Linked DNA regions of Stegostoma tigrinum. The protein of the gene in region 1 interacts with the protein of each later gene in a pairwise test. Links are inferred from orthologs where the notes say so. Each region holds a gene or a part of one and is shown on either strand. Other genes may lie near its edges.

Evidence for each region.
Region 2: the proteins of nmt2 (region 1) and acyl-CoA-binding domain-containing protein 6-like interact in binary tests that used the Homo sapiens proteins (3 or more experiments, as listed by UniProt). The link is inferred for Stegostoma tigrinum from reciprocal best matches to the Homo sapiens genes NMT2 and ACBD6.

The regions. Positions count from the first base shown.
Region 1 is NC_081355.1:112,692,324-112,702,559, reverse strand, and holds the start of nmt2 (glycylpeptide N-tetradecanoyltransferase 2), read right to left. Parts: upstream 4,495-10,236; 5' UTR 4,457-4,494; coding exon 4,344-4,456; intron 1-4,343.
Region 2 is NC_081361.1:17,505,768-17,515,323, reverse strand, and holds the start of acyl-CoA-binding domain-containing protein 6-like, read left to right. Parts: upstream 1-4,956; 5' UTR 4,957-5,302; coding exon 5,303-5,491; intron 5,492-9,556. UniProt on the Homo sapiens protein: Binds long-chain acyl-coenzyme A molecules with a strong preference for unsaturated C18:1-CoA, lower affinity for unsaturated C20:4-CoA, and very weak affinity for saturated C16:0-CoA. Does not bind fatty acids. Plays a role in protein N-myristoylation.

The sequences.
Region 1 (10,236 bases):
ATGCTTTCTACAAAGCTCAATTTATCAGTAGGTATTTTTAATGAACCTGTTCAGACATGTTATAACATAATGTGGAACAGATGGGACTTGAATCCGTGTGTTCTGACTCAAAGGTTGTTTGTACCACAGTACCACAAAAGCCTGACTGCTTAGTTTCAGTGACAGGCGTACAAGGACACCCAGGCTGCTATCCCTCTTTCCCAACCTATCACCATGCAGATAATGATCTGCCTTCGTGTATTTGCTACTAAAGTGGATAACTTCACATTTATCCACAGTGTACATCACCTGTCTTGCCTCTGCCACTCACTCAACTTGTCTCAACATTGAAATATCTCTCATCCTCCTCACAGCTCACTCTCCCATCCTATTCTGTCATCTGCAAATTTAGAGATATTACATTTAGTCCTCTCATCCATTCATTGATGTATTATAAATAGCTGCAGCCCAAGCATTGGTCCCTGCAGTACCCTACTAGTCAGTACGTGCCACTTGGAAAATTACCAATTTATTCCCACTCTGACTTCTGTCTGCCAACCAGTGCCCGATCCATGCTAGAACCCTATCCCCAACCCCATATACCTGAATACAATATGCTAGACTTTCATGTGGAATGTTGTCAAAAGCTTTTGAAAGTCCAAGTAAACTATATCCACTGGCATCTCCTTGTCAACCGTACTAGTTATATCCTCAAAAAGTTCTAGTAGATTTGTCAGCATGATTTCCCTTTTATGACTGACCCATGCTGACTCTGTCCAATCTTGTGACTGATTTTCAAGTGTTTTGCTACAAAATCTTTTATAATGAAATCTAGCATGTCCCCCAAAACCAGCGTCAGGCTAACTTGTCTGTAATTCTCTGTTTCACTCTCTCCATTTGTAAATTGTGGGAATACAACACCTATACTCCAGACTAGTCCAAGCCTCTAGAATTCTGAAAGATAACCATTACTACATCCATTATTTCTAGGGCCACTTCCTTAAATATTCCGGAATATAAATTATCAGGCCCTGGGGTTTATTAGCCTGTAATACCATTAATTTCCCCAACAGCATTTCCCTACTAATATTGACTCAATCCACTCTTACACTCTACCTTGAGTTCCCTAACACTTCGGAATGTTATTTGCATCCTCCTTTATAAAAACAGATTAAAAGTATATTTAATTGGTCGACCATCTTTTTCTTCCCCATTATGACTTACTGCATTTCTGATTGTGACTTATGAACTGTTGGGAGGATGAACACTCACTCTGCTTACTTTTTTCCTTTTTGGTCTTTACTTTCCTTTTACTCTTTCCTTTCTATATGTTATTGCTTACCATTATTTATCATTCCTATCATTCTTTGAAGGTGGACGTTAAAACAGCAGCAATTTCTTTTTTTGGCAGTTCTGTAATGTTTGTATAATAAATCAGAAGGTCATTTTGGAACACTGACCTAAATACATCATTGATAAGAAGACATGTAACTTCAGTGAACAGCCTATCAGCCTCTTGTGGTGTTAATACATTAAATGTTTACATTTGTTTATATTTATAAAAGGTGGTGTAAACGTATAATGGTAATTAGTTTAGTTTCAGCTTCAGAACGGAAGGTTCAAAATTACATCAGAAGAATCAGAGTTCAAGTTAGAAGAAAGAATAGTTTCTCCTAGCAGGGGAAATTAAGCTTTTTTCAACTCTGATCAGAGGATCAGTCACTTCAGAGGTGTTTCCAAGCTGAGACACCTTTAATGGAAGTATTCAAGCTGTTAAAACTGAGAAAAGTTTAGGCCCTCAGAATTATGAAACAATCATACCTGAAGATGGAAAACAAGTGTAAAACTGTCCACAGGGTCCGTGAAATGAAATTGTAAGGAATCACTTAGGTGGAAACAATTATTTTACTGCTTATGTTAAGAATCTGCTAATCTGTCTTCGATATTGTTTAATTTGCTTTTGCCTCTTTTGTGCAATAAATTTAGGTTCTGTTCTTAAACAACATCTACAGCCTTGTATGACCAAACACAATGTGAATGAACTAATGAAAAAGTTAAACATATATCTATCTATCAAGCCATGTTTCACTTTGGGATTGATTTATTCTGTAGGGCCAAAAATGGGTTCATGACTTACTCTAATTCCTAAGAACGAAGTTCAACACTCTCTTTACCTTCCAAACTATTTGATGCAGCTGTACTCTATGATTCTGTACAAGATCCTAGTGTACCACAGCATTTTGCAGTCTCGTCTTAAATAATGTTTCATTGTTCCAAAGTAGTAAACCCCATATTTTTTCCACAATATATCCATTTAGCTACATCACATAGTTAGTTAGCTTATCTATAATCCTTTGCAGGCTTTCTGGCCTCCTCACACATTGCTTTCCTACCTTATCTTTGTTTGATCGACAAATTTGGCAACAACAGACTCCGTCTCTTCATTCACGTCACTAATAAAAATTGTAAACAGTTCAGACAACAGTTTTTAGTTAGCCAATACTTTGTCCATGCTGATGTATTATTCTTAGTGCCATCAGCTCTTATCTTGCAGAGTAACAAATTGTGTGATACCTTACTGAATGTCTTTTGGAAATCTAAATACTCTACATCACTGATAAGAGATAATAGGAACTGCAGATGCTAGAGAATCTGAGATAACAAGGTGTGGAGCTGGATGAACACAGCAGGCCAAGCAGCGTCTTAGGAGCAGGAAAACTGACGTTTCAGGCCTAGACCCTTCATCAGAAAAGCAGTTCTGCTGAAGGGTCGAAGCCTGAAACGTCAGCTTTCCTGCTCCTAAGACGCTGCTTGGCCTGCTGTGTTCATCCAGCTCCACTCTACATCACTGGTTCCCTTTTATCTGCCTTACATATTACATCCTCAAGGAGCGTCAAATAAATCAGTTTAACAAGGTTTCCCTTTCATGAAACTATGTTGACTCTGCTTAATTATATAATTTTCTAAATGCTACTACTTCAATAATGAATTTCAACATTTTCGTCAAAAGATGTCAGATTAACTGACATTAGGTTTTATGATTTTTGTCTCCTCCCTTTCTTAAAACAGTGTGTTACATTTGCTTTAACATTCAGGGTAGAGTATTCTAGATCTCGACCACATTCGGAATAAAGAATTTCTTCTGATTTGGAATGATGGCATAGTAGTAACATCACTGGACTAGCAATCCAGACAATCAGGGATCAAATCCCACGACAGCAACTGGTGGAATCTGAATTAAATTAATAAATCTAGAATACATAACTTATCTCAACTGTTCTATGAACGGCCTAGCAAATCATTCAGTTCAAGTGTAATTAAGAATGGATATCCAATCCCACAAAAAGAATAAACAAAAAAAGTCTTCTACCAATGCTTTTAAATCTACGGCCACAGGTTACTATCATTTGCCAGGGGAATCGTTTTTTTCCTACATACGCTATCATAACACCACACCTTGGCAGGCAACGCTTCGCCTTGAATGTTCCAAGGAAAGCAGCTTTAATGTTCCCAATCTCTTCTCACAACTGAAGTCTCTTGTCTTTTGTGACACCAGAGTAATCTTCTGTACTCTAAGATCTTTACACATTTCCAGAAATCTGATGCCTAGAACCGTTGCTGAACATTCAACTGAGGGCTAAACAGAGATTTATGAAGTTTGTAAACATTCCTCAGTATTTAGAATAAAAAATATCAATTTATGAACTTGCCGGTGGCATTGGGTTCAATTCAATGCAGGAAAAACTCAGCAGCTCTGAAGGAGGATCGCCAGACACGAAACTTTAATCTGTTTTCTGTTCGCAGGTATCATACCTGCTGAATTTTTCAACCAATTTCTGTTTTTTGTTAAAGATTCCAGTCAGTTCACCTCACTGTCATTTTCATGACACAAACAGCAGACTGGAGGCAGGGGCCGTTTACAGAAGAGGAAGACGGAATTGGTAAAATGCTGATTAGAAACATTTCATTGATTTCTGCGCCTTGCAAGCTTTGAGATAAGCCGTGCAAGGGCGGTGGAGGAGGAAAAAGATGTCCAGATTCCCAGCCAACCCAGTTCCTGCCCCGTTTCCCCCACATTACCTGCCATACCCACATGGCGCAGGAGATTGAAGCTGCCAACCTGCACAGTCCAGGGGCTCGATCTTCATTTACTAGCCCGACATGGACACGGTGCAGACACCCAATGTCTTAACGGTTTACCTGCCAGTTGCAAACAGCGCACAAACGCCCCCCGAACCTACAACAGGCAGCCTGCCGGGCCCAGGGCCCCGAGTCCCCCTCCCCAAAACACACACCCCCCGCCAAACCCAGAACGGCCCAGCGCAGGGCTACTCTGCCCCAGCCCTCTCCCCGCCGCCCACTACCTGTGCGTTTGCTCATTTTCCTCCTCGTTATCTCCATCGATGCCGCAGGTGTCGTGATCATCCAGCTCAAGGCTCTGCTGACTTGCTGCCGACTCGCTGTCCTCCGCCATCATCCAAACGCCGGCCGCCAGCCCGCCGCAGACGGCGCCCCCACCAGGCAAGATCAGAAACCACACACGACAATCAAGTTATGGTCCAAGGGCTTGTTTAAAAACACAAACGTTCACAGCCTCACTCCTTCCTCAGGTCTTCGTGAGAGAGGTGGTATCAAACACCGAATTTATAAGTAACAGCTCAAAGGGTCACACCACTGATGAGGATATACTAAACAAACCGAAAATGCTGTTAAATCTTCAGTCAGTCAGATGGTTTTAATTGATTAACAAGTATATGTAAATCGTCAACTTGTTTTCAAGTCCCTGTCCTGAGAGAACTAAAGATTTTATCAGCATAAAGATCTTTATATACACAGAATTTATAAACACAATATATATACTAAAGGTCAGACAACGCATGTTAGGTGTGAGGTCTTGTTTGGAGTCAGACCGGTTTTATTTCTAAAGTAGAAATTTATAAAACACTACATTGTCTGTAAATTGTGCACTTTTTGAGCAAAATAAAATGTATCTGCAAATATAAATTCACCCCATAGATTCACATGTGTGTCTGAAAGAAAGTGAATGAGTGAAGGGGAGACAGAGAGGGTGTGTGTGTGTGTGTCAGGGAAAGGGGGAAAGAAAAAGTGTCTGTGTGGGAAGAGAGTTTGTGTGCACGTGTGTGTGGGAGGGGAAGAGTGTGTGTATGTGTGAGAGCTGGACAGAGACCATTTGTGTATAGGTGCGTGTATGAGAGAGAGGAGGGGAAAGAGAGTGCGTGGGGGTGTGGATGAGTATGTCAGGGAGAGGGAGAGTATATGTGTGTGTGTGAGAGTGTGTGTGTGTGGGGGGGAGACAGAAACAGAATGTGGGGGGGGGGGGCAGTGTATGAATGCGTGTGTGAGACTGTATAGTGTGGTGGGGTCAGCCTGTAGTGCGATATGAACCCAAGATCCCATCCTTATCCTCATGGGTACCGAACTGGGCTATCAGCCTCTGCTTGGCGATTCTGTGTTGTTGTGTCTCCTGAAGTCTACTTTGGAGGATGCTTACGCAAAGATCCAGGGCTGAATGTCCTTGACTGCCTCACAGGCACAGCTACTGTCTCTGATGCTATAAAGAATCTGCACAGACCCATACCTGGGCCAGCAACTACCAGGACCTGCACTGATCTGCACCCCACACCAACTCATACTGACCTGGGCCCGTGACCTGGGCCGGCACTGACCCAGACCTGCACTGACCCGGACCCAGGCCTGCACTGACCCAGACCTGCACTGACCCGGACCCAGGCCTGCACTGACCCAGACCTGCACTGACCCAGACCCAGACCTGCACTGATCCACACCCGCACTGACCTGGACCCAGACCGCACTGACCCTGACCCGGACCCAGACCTGCACTGACCCGGACCCAGACGCGCACTGACCCGGACCCAGACCTGCACTGATCCGCACCCGCACTGACTCGGACCCAGACCCGCACTGACCCAGACCCTCACTGACCCGGACCCTGACCTGCACTGACCTGGATCCACACCGACCTGGATACGGACCTGCACTGACCTGTACATGCACTGGCCTGTACCCGCACTGACCAGGACCCAAGCCTGCACTGACCTGGACCCGCACTGACCCGGACCCAGACCCACACCGACCTGTACTCGCACTGACACGAACCCAACCTGCACTGACTTGCACCCACACTGACCCGGATTCAGAACTGCACCCGTACCCGCACCGACCCAGACCCGCATTGACCCGGACCAAGACTTGCACTGACCTGGACCTGCACTGACCCAGCTCTGCACTGACCCAGACTGCAAACTCGACCCACACAAACCTGGGCTGCAAACTCGACCCGCACAAACCCGGATTGCAACCTGGACCCGCACTGACCCAGAACCACAACTCGAACCCGCGACCGGTGCCAATCCAGACCATAACCCAGACCCGCACTGACCCAGAACCATAACCCGAACACGCAACCCGCACCAATCCAGACCGTAACCCAGACCCACACTGACCCAGAACCATAACCCGAACACGCAACCCGCACCAATCCAGACCGTAACCCAGACCCACACTGACCCGGAACCATAACCCGAACCCACGACCCGCACCAATCCAGACCGTAACCCAGACCCACACTGACCCGGAACCATAACCCGAACCCACGACCCGCACCAATCCAGACCGTAACCCAGACCCAGAACCATAACCCAAACCCGGGATTCACATCAATCCAGACCGTAACCCAGACCCACACTGACCCAGAACCATAACCCGAACCTGCGACCTGCACCAATCCAGACCATAACCCAGACCCGCACTGACCCAGAACCATAACCCGAACACGCAACCCGCACCAATCCAGACCGTAACCCAGACCCACACTGACCCGGAACCATAACCCGAACACGCAACCCGCACCAATCCAGACCGTAACCCAGACCCACACTGACCCGGAACCATAACCCGAACACGCAACCCGCACCAATCCAGACCGTAACCCAGACCCAGAACCATAACCCAAACCCGGGATTCACATCAATCCAGACCGTAACCCAGACCCACACTGACCCGGAACCATAACCCGAACCAGCGACCTGCACCAATCCAGACCATAACCCAGACCCACACCGACCCGGAACCATAACCCGAACCAGCGACCTGCACCAATCCAGACCATAACCCAGACCCACACCGACCCGGAACCATAACCCGAACCCGCGACCTGCACCAATCCAGACCGTAACCCAGACCCCACTGTCCCGGAACCATAACCCCAACCGGCGACCCGCGCCAATCCAGACCGTAACCCAGACCCACACTGACCCGGAACCATAACCCGAATCCGCGACCCGCGCCAATCCAGACCGTAACCCAGACCAACACGGACCCAGAACCATAACCCGAACCCACGACCTGCACCAATCCAGACCGTAACCCAGACCCACACTGACCCGGAACCCGCGAACCGCACCAATCCAGACCGTAACCCAGACCCACACTGACCCGGAACCATAACCCGAACCCACGACCTGCACCAATCCAGACCGTAACCCAGACCCAGAACCATAACCCAAACCCGGGATTCACATCAATCCAGACCGTAACCCAGACCCACACCGACCCAGAACCATAACCCGAACCCGCGACCCGCACCAATCCAGACCGTAACCCAGACCCACATTGACCCGGAGCCAAAACCCACACTGATCTTCATTGACCAGGAACTGCAATCCGCACTGACCCACACCCACCAACAATCCAGATCTGCAAATCGTGTTTCAGAGTCATAGAGAAGTACTGCATGGAAACAGACTCTACAGCCAACTCATCCATCACAACCAGATATCCTACTCCAGATTGCAAACAAACTGGACCCACAAGTAATCCAGATCCAAACAACAAGGAATTCAGACCAACAAATAATCTGGATCCAATTCACAAATAATTACTTTCTCAGCTGAAGTTCATGGGAACTGGATGAAATTGCATTTCCCAGAATTTCTGACTAAATTTCTATAAAAAGTATTCAGTTAGACTGCTTAATTTCCAAAGGCAGGGCGAAAGCAATCAGAAATGCATATTTTATATCATTCCATGGCTATCAACAATTCACTTTTATTGACCATGAGAAATCCCAGACCCTTGACCAGATGTTGTTTTCCACTTTTGTTTTCTGTAAAATAACTTCTCTGTCCATACTTCTGTGCTTTTGTGTTATGTGATTGTGTCTGTGGGATTAGAGGTACATAGTTTGAATTCATGATTATGATTGATTATGACTCTTGTACATGAGTAAACCTTCCCCATGCAGGTAAATTCTTTAAATAGATCTGGTACTTCCTTACTAACCAACCCCTAACTAGGCTGTACATTCTTTTGTAGCTTCCAATGGGATCTCCTTTATCAATTTAATAAAACCCACTGGCTTATCTTGTTTTGTCACATCCATCTTCCCATTGCTTTTCTTAAACCATTAACACTGCAACTTCATGCAGTTAAAACACCGGAGGGTTTTTAATTTTCTCCCCAACCACCCCTCCCCCCGCCAAATGTGTTTTTTAAAATCTGTGTTAAACTACCTTTACTATCTTCAAAGAGGTCTCATTTTCCTATACCACCTGGGGATTTCTCTTTTCCCCAATTTCTATCCCTCACAGAGTAAAATTGATGTTGGAAGCCAAACCTTGATATATGAACTAGCTCATAATCAACAGTCATTTCCGTTGCCAATCTTGCAGTTTAGCTCTCTGCTGTTCCACATAAATTCTCATTACTTCAGAAAGCGAAGTTTTGAACTCCTCCAAAATATCAATCTCTCTAAGACCATCATATGTCTGATCTGTTTTCAATGCTTTGTTTGATCCTTTCAAAATCAATATGTGTTTGACCAAGTTCCCTTCGTAGATTCCTAAAACATTGTCTGAAGGCTTCTTGCACAAAATCATATGCATTTAAAATGGCATTTTTCACCTCCTTATATTCCCCAGTTACCTCCTCTGATAGTGATGCAAATACCTCTCTAGCTCTACGTGGTTTGAATCAACAATATCCACATGGTCACCAGCCATTTCAGTTTTATACTACTTTCTCAAATCAAATGAAAAAAGCCTCTGCATCCTTCTCATCAAACTTTAGTAATGCTTGGACATATTTAAACAGATCCCCACCAGGCGTTTGTCTATGATTGGTATGCTCTTCATCACTGTCCCCATCACTACTCCTGCTTTCTACCCTCGCCATTTTAAGTTGACTTCCCCCTTTCATTGCCAACTTCTGAAGTTCAAAACTTCTCACTTTCTCCCTCTCTTGTACTAAGACCTTTTTCTTTTTCCTCTGTGTTTACTCATAATTCAAATTGTTTGATTTCCTTTGCATAGTCAAGCCAATTCATTTGCCATTGAATTTTAGCCACTTCCTATGATTCTGTTTGCATTTCTGGCAATTATAAATGCAGAATTATTGCCACAATAATATCCTGTTTCCTCACAGGCAACTCCAATTTCAATTTGTTTGCCAACTTTAAAAGCTTTGCCTTGCTCACTTTCCGTAAAACTGCCGAAGTGACATTTTCCATCGCCGCAAAACTGAACTGAAAGAGCCAATACTACACAAGGCACACCCTGTTTAAACCAACTGAATACAACACCCGAAAAAGAAAGCACCAATGCTCATCGTCCAATAATTCTAAGCCAAACCTGGAAATAAAGGTTTTGATCCCATTAAGAGCCCTCAGTTTGTTATAGACCAGACCAAGCCCCTTTCAAGTATATCAAGGAGATAGCCTCGACCCTAACTTTTTCTTATTTGAAGTCAAGTATAAGGTGCTGTGTTCCAGGTGTAATTTGATTGGTTACACTACTCAGCTTTAAGCAAAACACACTATATTCTTACTCTACAGTTAAAATACAAACAAAACAAAGAAGAATTGGCATAACTTTAACTCTATTGGAAAAGTTATCAGAATAATAGACTGTTTAACTACAAAACAGCAACTTTTCCAATGTAGTAACATCAAATGCACACATCCTTGGCAAAGGTAAATTAAAATAGATTGTCCACATGCAATATTTCTCCAGTCCAGGAGGAAAGGACATCAAGAGAAAATTCTGGCACAGGGAGAGAGAGAGAGAGAGAGAGAGCGTGAGAGCACGTGAGAGAGCGAGAAAGCGAATGTAAACATTTTGCTGTAGCAGGAAGAGATATTTAGCAGCTTCAAAACCCAACAAATGCTGAAAGCTAAACTAAAACCCAGGTTTATGGTTCTATGGGACCCTGACTGTCTCC
Region 2 (9,556 bases), on another chromosome or scaffold:
CCAATATATACTCCACTGCCAAGGAAAACTAGAAGTGAGGTAACTCAGCTCAATGGACTCCAGAGTTCAAATAACAGAAGGGAAAACACATTAGCGTTTCATCAGAGGATGCACTGATGATGTTACCCAGCATCGTAACGAAATGTCTGCAGAAAAACAATGAACCAGCTTGACAAGCCAACCAACCACAAGAATTACATGCTTTAGGTACATGTAATTTTATTGTTGGGGTCAGCAAAGCACATAAAACTAACAAATTGGAAAAAAAATACAGTTTGTCACACCTGCTCAAAAGCTGTCTAGCCTGTGTTGACATCTGCAGAGCACTTGTGGACTTATTTGCAAGAAATCTGCTGACCTAAATGATAGAATAAAACACAAGTGGTCATCAATACAGTACAGAACCACAACACAAGGAAAATGCTTAGAAGATGCACAAGTACAAACACATTAGTGAGATTCATATGAGTGAAAGGCAAACTGCTGAACATGACCAACTTTCCATATCATTACTGTCACACAGCATTTCAATGTTGAGATAACCAGAACCTTTTACAGCTATTAATTATCATTTGTCCTGAGAAGGCAGTACAACACATATTAACAGCTAAAACTGACAATGACAGCTAATGTGAACATATCACCACAACACATCCTAAAAGACGTAACTCACGAAGTGGTACTTGATGGTACAACTCATGAGAGATCATTTCTCATTGAATAACAGATCACCAATTTTCCATTTTGGCAGAATCATATTGTGTGCCAACACTCAAGTTCAGCTTGGATTCCTGAATTTTCCATCTGATGGTTATCACTGGACCAGCAGTGGCAGGACTACCAGTATGCATACATCTTTGTATAGTCACAATTCAGGAGACTCACCAAACCATACCTGCTCTGGTAGAATGAACCACACAACACAATCGAATCAGTAAATAATCTCCAAAGATATTACTTTGATGAGAATTGCAAGCTAGGTACCAGGATGATTACATTGACCAGATTACCCTACACACAGAAAGACCAAGATGTAAGAACATAAGAAATAGACACTGGAGTAGGCCATTTGGACCCCGAAGCCTGTCTCACTGTGCAACAAGATCACAGTGGATCTGCGCCAGATTTCAACACCTCTTTCAGGCTAGCTCTGCCTAGGTGTCAAATTCCTGATATTTCAAAACTCTGTACCTCCTCTTTGAAAATGACACAGTGTGGAGCTGGAGGAACATAGTAGGCCAGGCAGCATCAAAGGAGCAGGAAAGTTGATGTTTTGGGTTAGGACCCTTCTTCAGAAATGGGAGGTGGGAAGGGAGCTCAGAAATAAATAGAGAAAAGAGGGGTCTCCACATTGAGTCTTCTCTGACACCTGCATCTGCAGTTCTTACCATCGGTGACCTTCTCTTTAAGTGATCTAGCCTCCATAACTCCCTCCAGGGTAGAAAATTCCAGACATTCACTATGCTCTGACAGAAGAAATTCTTTTGCTTCTCATTTTTAAGTAAGTGTGCACTTATTCTGCAATTATGTCCCTGATTTGAGATTCCCCCACAAGTGGGAACATCCTAACATCTACCCTGTCGAGGCCCCTCAGAATCTTGTACGTTTCAATAAGTTCACCCTCATTCTTCTGTTACGAAGTTGTGTAGAGTATTCATGAATTAGAAGGCAGGAAGTTAGAATATATTGGTAAAAAATGATAGTGGGGAAAAGCAGTGCATCATACCTTGAAAAATGGCGTTTTTTCACTGCTCAGTGTTAAAATGGATATCTGACCAGCAACTTGAAGTGCAGGTGCACAGAAACAGCGCCCGAATGGAAACATTTTGTAGCAAACAGCCAAGCAGCATTTTTACCAAGACAACAGGTCTTTTCAAATTTAAACCAATCAATTTAAACCAAGCCCTGAGATGCTAAAAACCTACTAAATTTAAATCTGATGGCGTTGGGAACAGCAATCCTACATGAGAAATATTGTTATGTCATCATGAGTATAAAGATGAGGGTATTTCAGGGAGAGCCAACTGCCAAGAGACAACACCATTCAGCTCTCAGAGAAAGCACAATATAATTAATAAAAAGGTACCATGGCAGTTCTTGCTAAAAGTCCTCACTTAAATGAATGCAGAGGAAAACATCCCTGACAGCAGAAACAGCGGAAGACAGACATTTGGTATGTGAGATCGACAGGAAAAAGGCTGGAGAAGGCACAGTGTTGCAGAAGACAGTCTGTGTGAACTTTGGAGAGATTAAGTTTTAATTTATTGTTGTGTTATTAACTGGGTTTATATAAGTGGGACTTGTGTTTATTTGAACAGCATTCCAGTAGAATTTAGGTCAGTTAGGGAGTAGTTTGTAGTCTATAGGAGTATTGTTTGCTTTGTTAGCAATTCTGTTATTTTGTTCATTGTTCGGGTTAAATAAAGGAATTGTTTCTTGTTATTTATAAACTGAATCAGGGATTTTCTTTCATTTAACCCCTCTTTTAACAGATTACAAGGGAAAGGTGAGCTTCCCTTATTTTTCGGGGATAATTAATTTATCAAATACTTCATCAGAAGTAGTCGTCCAGTGAAGCACTTTTGTATAGTCCTCAATACCAGTATACACATTTTTAAAATACAGGGATTAAACCGTACACCATATTCCAGGTGCGACCTCACTAAGACCCTGTACAGTTGTAACAAGGTTTTTACTGTTTTCAAACTGCAACTCTCTAGCAACAAAAGCCAAAGTTCAATTTCCCTTTCACAAAACCATGTTGATACTATCTGGTTGCATTCAACCTTTCTAAATGCCCCACTATCTCTTCCTTAATAATTTTCCTAATAACAGATGTTAGCCAGCCTACAGTTTGCTGCTTTCTGTTTCCATCCCTTCTTGAACAGGGTTGTCACATAAGCAGTTTTCCAATCCACAGGAACCCTCCTCAAATCCAGTGAATTCTCACGATTTTAGACCAATATCTTCACTATCTCTGCAGCCACCTTCTTTAAATTTTTTGGATGCAGGCTATCAGGTCCTAGTTTACCTTTAGCCCCATTAGTTTGTGAAATACTTTGTCCCTCATTATAGAGCCTACAACAAGGCCTCTTCTCTTAATAGCATCTTGCTTATTTGTATTCTTTGGGGTATTTATATTATCCCCTACCATGAAGACCATTGTAAAAGTATTGATTTAAAATCATCTGCTTACCTGTTTCCCATTATCAATTCTATAGTCATATCCTCCAAGTTCCTATGCTTACTTTAATTACTGTCTTTTAATGTACCCTTGGAGGTCTCACTATGTGAACGAAGAAAATTACAGCACAAGAACAGGCCCTTTGTCCCTCTAAGCCTGTGCAGATCCAGATTCTCTAACTAAACCTGTTGCCTATGTTCCAAGGATCTGTATCCCTCTGCACCCTGCCCACTCACGTATCTGTCCAGATACATCTTAAATGACAGTATCTTGCCTGGCTCTACCACCTCCGCTGGCATCGCATTCCAGGCACCCATCACCCTCTGTATAAAGAATTTTCCACACACATCTCCCTTAAACTTTTCCCCTCTCACTTTGAAATCGTGACCTCCTAGTAATTAAGTACCACACTCTGGGGAAAAAGCTTCTTGCTATCCACCCTGTCTATATCTCTCATGATTTAGTAGACCTCAATCGGATTCACCCTCAATCTCCTTCTTTCTAATGTAAATAATCCTAATCTACTCAACCTCTTTTCATAACTAGCTCCCTCCATATCAGGCAACATCCTGGTGCACCTCCTCTGTACTCCCTTCAAAGCATCCACATCCTTTTGATAATGTGTCCACCAGAATTGTACGCAGTATTCCAAATGTGGTTGAACCAAAGTCCTATACAAAGTCCTTTGCTTTCATAAATGTTGCTAATTTAGTATCAAAACTCAAATTTTCTCTGTTTATTTAGGTCTTTAGTTGTCCAATAATGGCTCCTAAAATCCTCTGGCCTACCACTAGTTTTTGCCATTTTACATGCCTTAATTTTTGATCAAGTACTGTCCTTGAGTGCCTTTGTCAATGTGTGGGTCATCTCATTGAGTCCTGTTTGACCTGGTTATATAGAAGTAAATGATAGATGGAGCCAACAGAGACAGAAAAACAGTTGAGTAGCAAAAGAAATGGGTAAAGGCCAGTCTGGGAGGATGAATAGCTGCTTACGGGGATCATCAGTGGTGAACAATTATCCACATATCTTCCTGTGCTGTCACACTTTTACTCTTACAGGAAGAAACAAAGTGAAGGGACTCTGTTGTTGGATAATATCTCCTGCTATTACTGTCTTTATCAAACAGGTCCTCTCATTTTATGAAGCTGTTCACCCACTTCCTCTCATCCTGAACATGCTACCTCTGTCAAACTACCCACCTGGCACCGATTTACCCAGCACTTTTACCCTCCCACCATTCCCATCTAACACTTATCTTAACATAGCAGTCGAAGAGGCTGTCTGATTCCAGACCTTTAAATTTCAGAACACTGTAGCTGAACTGCTTTTAAAAAAAAGGTTGTGGCCCAGAATTTTGCACTAGAAGGGTACAGGTCAGAATGAAGTACAAAGCTCCACATTTCTGAATGAGTCCTGATAGGAATCGCCTGATATAAAGTAGAAAAAAATGTGGCAAATCTGTGAGAAATTGCAAATCCACGAAAAATCTGATCCAACGTGTTTTGTGAGCCACAGAAAACTCTCTGGTTAAAACAAGGAATTTTTTTTTCACCTGTCTAGACCAAAGACTCCATGTAGTTTCAAATAGCAAACCTTCATTACGAGCTGAAACCCATACAGGGTAGTGTGTTGGTAGATCCCCCTATTTCTAAGGCAGTTCTACATAACACCATGCAGTGCTCCAATTTGTCAAACTGCTATACTGTATTATCGGTCACCAAAATTACCTGCAATGCTGTTGCCAACATCACGCGAAAGCTTAAAATCAGTGTGGGAGACGTGGCTCGAAAACAAACGTAAAAGCAGAAAGCGACGCGACTTTTTGTTTTGTTAAATGTGTCGGGGCACGTTCAAAAGAATAAGGTGCATTTTCGCTGCGGAACCTTCGCACGGCGGCCGGTGCGTTCCACCCGGAGTGTTGACAGCTCCGGGACGGGCAGCGGTGTGAGAAGTAGCGGGGGGTGGGGGTGGGGTGCAAAAGAACCAGCGGTTAAACGGTCGGAGCTGGACTCTTTCTCTACTTCTCTCCCACGGCTTCGTTGCCTCGGCAGCGAATAATTAACAGGTCAGTGGGGAACTTCCCCCGGAGCCTGGGTCACGGGCTCCCTACCCGAGATGGCGGCGGTGTCAGACCAGGCGAGCGATAGCGAGGACCGTGTGCCGGAGACTGAGGGCGGAGGAGGAGGAGGAGGAGGCGGGCGCGCGCTGGAGACTGAGTTCGAGCGCGCGGCCGCGCACGTGCAGACGCTCGCGCATGCGGCCGGCCGCGAGACTCTGCTCTACCTGTACAGCCGCTTCAAACAGGTGTGTGTGTGTGTGTGTGTGTGTGTGTGTGTGGTGGGGGGGAGGGACACGTAGACATTACAACAACAAAACTGTGTTGAGATAACACCTGTGTGGATGCTGGAGCAACACAGCGGCCCAGGCAGCGTCGGGGAAGCGGGAAAGTTGACGTTTCGGGTCGGGACTCTTCCGGAAGGAGAGGGAGCTGCGAAATTAATAGAAGGGAAGGAAGGAATGAAGGAATGAATGAAGTGGGGTGTTGGTCGGTGACGGCGGGTATGTATGTCTGGTGCCCTCCTTGAAACTGACGTCTGTTTCAAACCCACCAACTCCTGCAGCTACCTGGACTACACCATCTCTCACCTACCTTACAGCAAGAATACAATTCCTTACTCCCAACCCCTCCGCCATGTCCCCTCCCAAGATAGGGTGTTCCACTCCGGGACATCCCAGATGTCCTCCTACGTCAAGGACTGTCAACTTTCCCTCTCCGGTGATCGAAAATGTTCTTGACCGCATCACTTGCATTTCCCGCACTTCTGCCCTCAAACCCCCCCCACCTAAAACAAAAACAGAATCCCCCGGTCCTCACTTACCACTCCACTAATCTCTGCATCCATTGTATCATTCTCCGCCAGCTATATTCCCATGCCACCGCTAACTGCCTTTCCTAGGAACTGCTCACTCTGCAACTCCCTCATCTGCTGCACACTCCCCACTAGCCCTGCTACACTAGACATCTTTTCCAGCAACTGCAGGAAGTGCTACACCCCCTCAGCTCCAATCAAGGCCCAAAACAAACCTTTCAGACTGGGATTGATCTGTACATCTGTCAACTTGGTCTGCCATATCTGCTGCTCCCAACATGGCCTCTTCGACATCATTGAGACCAAGTGTACACTCAGAGACCGTTTCATAGAGCATCTGTACATGGCAAACGACAACACCTTCCAGCTGCCAACCATTTTAATTCCCCTCCCACTGCCTGGGTGACATTGCCATCCTGGGCCACCCCATAGAGACATCAAATTGGAGGAGCGATAACTCATATTCCGCCTGAGGAGCCTACAGCCCAATGGCCTAAATGTGGAATTCACCAGTTTTAAAATCTCCTCATCCCTGTCTTCTTGACTTGACACACAACCTGTCCATCTTCTCTCTCACCTCTCCATCCCTGCCATCCCACTGACTAATCCCCACCACTCCCTATCTGCACTCACCTATCACCTTCCCAATCCCTACCCCTCCCCTCTATTTATTTCCCTCCCCTATTGCTGAAGAAGGGTCTTGACCCAAAATGTCAGCATTCCTGCTCCTCTGATGCTGCCTGGCCTGCTGTGTTCCTCTAGCTCCACTCTGTTGTCTCTGACCCTAGCATCTGCAATTCTTGCTATCTCTGAACACTTCACTGAGTTTACCCAGCACTTCGTGTTCATATTTTCAGATTTCCAGCATTCGCAGTGTTTTGCTTTTATTTAAACCTGTCCCCCTACGGCACAGAAACAGACCTGTATAAAAAAAATGTGTTGGGGAAACTCAAGTCTGGCAGCATCTGGAGGAGGAGAGAAAAACAAAAAAAAGTTGCTGAAAAAGCTCAGCAGGTCTGGTAACATCTGTGGAGAGAAACCAGAATTGACGCTTCGGGTTGAGTGACCCTTCCTCAGATCTTTAGGAAGAGAAGAAGCAGGAGTTATCCTTTCGAGCCTGATATGGCAAGCATCATGGTCATTTCAAAGACTCCTGAAATTTCAGACTTAAAATGTTAATTTTGTTTCTCTCTCTCAGCTGCCAGACCAGCTGAGTTTCTCCAGCACTGTTCATGTTTCAGATTTCCAGTGTCCGCACTATTTTCATAGAAATCTAAGAATCCATACAGCCATTTGGCCCATCGAGTCAACAATGACCCTCTGATGACACCCAGACACACCTCCCCAACCTAATCCCTGCCAGGCTGCATTTCCCATGGCTAATCCGCCTAGCCTACACATCCCTGAACATCACAGGACAATATAGCATGGCCAATCCACCTAAACTGCACATCTTTGTGTACCCACAGCCCATGGATGTTAGTGTGGACCCAATGGGCCAAATGGCCTGCTTTCACACTAACAATTTCATGCTTCTTCTGATTGTGGGAGGAAATCGGAGCACCTAGTGAAAACCCACGCAAACATATGGAGAGAATGCAAACTCCACACAGTCCAAAAGAGGAACCGAACCAGGATCTCTGGTGCTGTGAGATAGCATTGCTAACTACTGAGCCACTGTGTCTCCCTCCTTTGCTTTAATTTGCGTGTTTTCCTGAAAAAGGTTGAAAGATAAAATGTGCCCCTGGAGCAGCTTGAAAGATGATGCTCACTTGTAACAGTTAAAACATACCTTGACAGTAGGTAAATAAAAGCCTCCATAAACATGTAAAACAGGCATCCCTGAAAAGGTACAAAGTGCCTAAAACCCACTAAAACAGTTGAGCCCAAGAGACGTGTGCCAACAGCTATAATGCTCACCACAAACAGGTAAAATCTCCAATATAGGTAAACTCTAAGGTACAAGTATGAATAGGCATAGCTCTCACCAAGGATTGTATAGAGGTGAGGGATAGATGGCAGTTGGGCAACAAGTATGAATAGCTAAACTTTTACGATTGTGGTAATGATGCAAGGGACAGGTAAAATTAAGTAAACCCTAGCAATTTGAACAAAAGGGCAAATCCATAATGGGTAAATGCTAGGATGATCATAAACAAGTCACAGAGAAATCAATACAAGAACTTAAGTTCCAATCTAAATGTAAACTACAGGAATGAATATAAACATTGATTCCCTATATTTGTTGATGAAAATAAATAGAAACCCTTCAGTAATATCCTGATACCTTATAAAAGATTTGGCCAAGGATAGCACTGCTCAAATAGTTTGTGGCTCATAAGTAGTTCCTGTAAGGTGGTTTACTAAGAAGTGACAGTTTAAATACAGCACATAATTGGAGTTGAAAGTGTAGATATGTAACTAGTGATAGATGAGAAGGTTTATTAGTTCAGAATTTGATGGTGGCCTGGTTTCTGTTGTGTGCTGCAACAATTACTTCCTTTTTTTTATGCTTTTTCCTTACTGAGTGCTTGTTTGTGCACTTTAATTTTTATGGATGTGCAGCCATCTCATGTCAATCAGTCAATCAATTTCATCTTCCCACTTGATTGTCCAATTTCCAAAGAGCAAGTATCAGAGGTAAGGAATGGTGGCCTACTGGTAGTGTTACAAAGCTGATAATCCAGAGACCTGGACAAAGTTTGGAAATGCAATTCCTCCACTGCCACTGATGGAATTTAAATTCAATAAATCAATAAATCTGAATTCATGACCACAGACCTACCAGATTGCTGTAAAAACCTATCTGTTTCACAAATGTTCTTCAGGGAAGAAAATCTAATTCTTACCCTGTTTTGCCTGCATCTGATTCCTGAAGTAAAAAAATCAGTTGACTCTTGACTATCTTCTGAAATGATCTGGCAAACGACTCAGTTTTATGCAGGATGGTCAACATGTTGGTTTTGCCATTGATACTCATATCCAACAAACAAATAAGAATGTGTCTTTAATTCCAGGCCTAGCCAAGTGGTAACCCTTTTGCTTATCTTCCTTTATGAGGCAACTTGTTACTGTTTTATCACCTCCTAAATGTCTTGTACAAAGCCTTTATTGATAATTTGGTCCTTGGAAGAAATAAAATCTATGCTGTACTTTCTCTGTATCAACTTGACTCTTTCTTATTAAGGGAGAATGAGAAAGTGTGTTATTTTCAAAATCATCAGTTTCTTCAGATCTTAAGAGAGTTATTTCCTATATGACTGTAAATCTGTATCTGGCTTAAAACCATAGGGGTCAGCGTCCTTTCGTGAGAGTTGTAAGCAATGCTCGGTATTAACCAATTTGATTCTCTTTGTATACTAGAACACACAGTGCGGAGGGTCAATGTGGGAGAAATAAATCTGTGACCAGATGGAGAGTAGTGCTGCAGGTGAACTAACAAATATAAGCATGATTATAATAATTTATGGTTAATAAATTAGGGCTGAAGTTACAATCT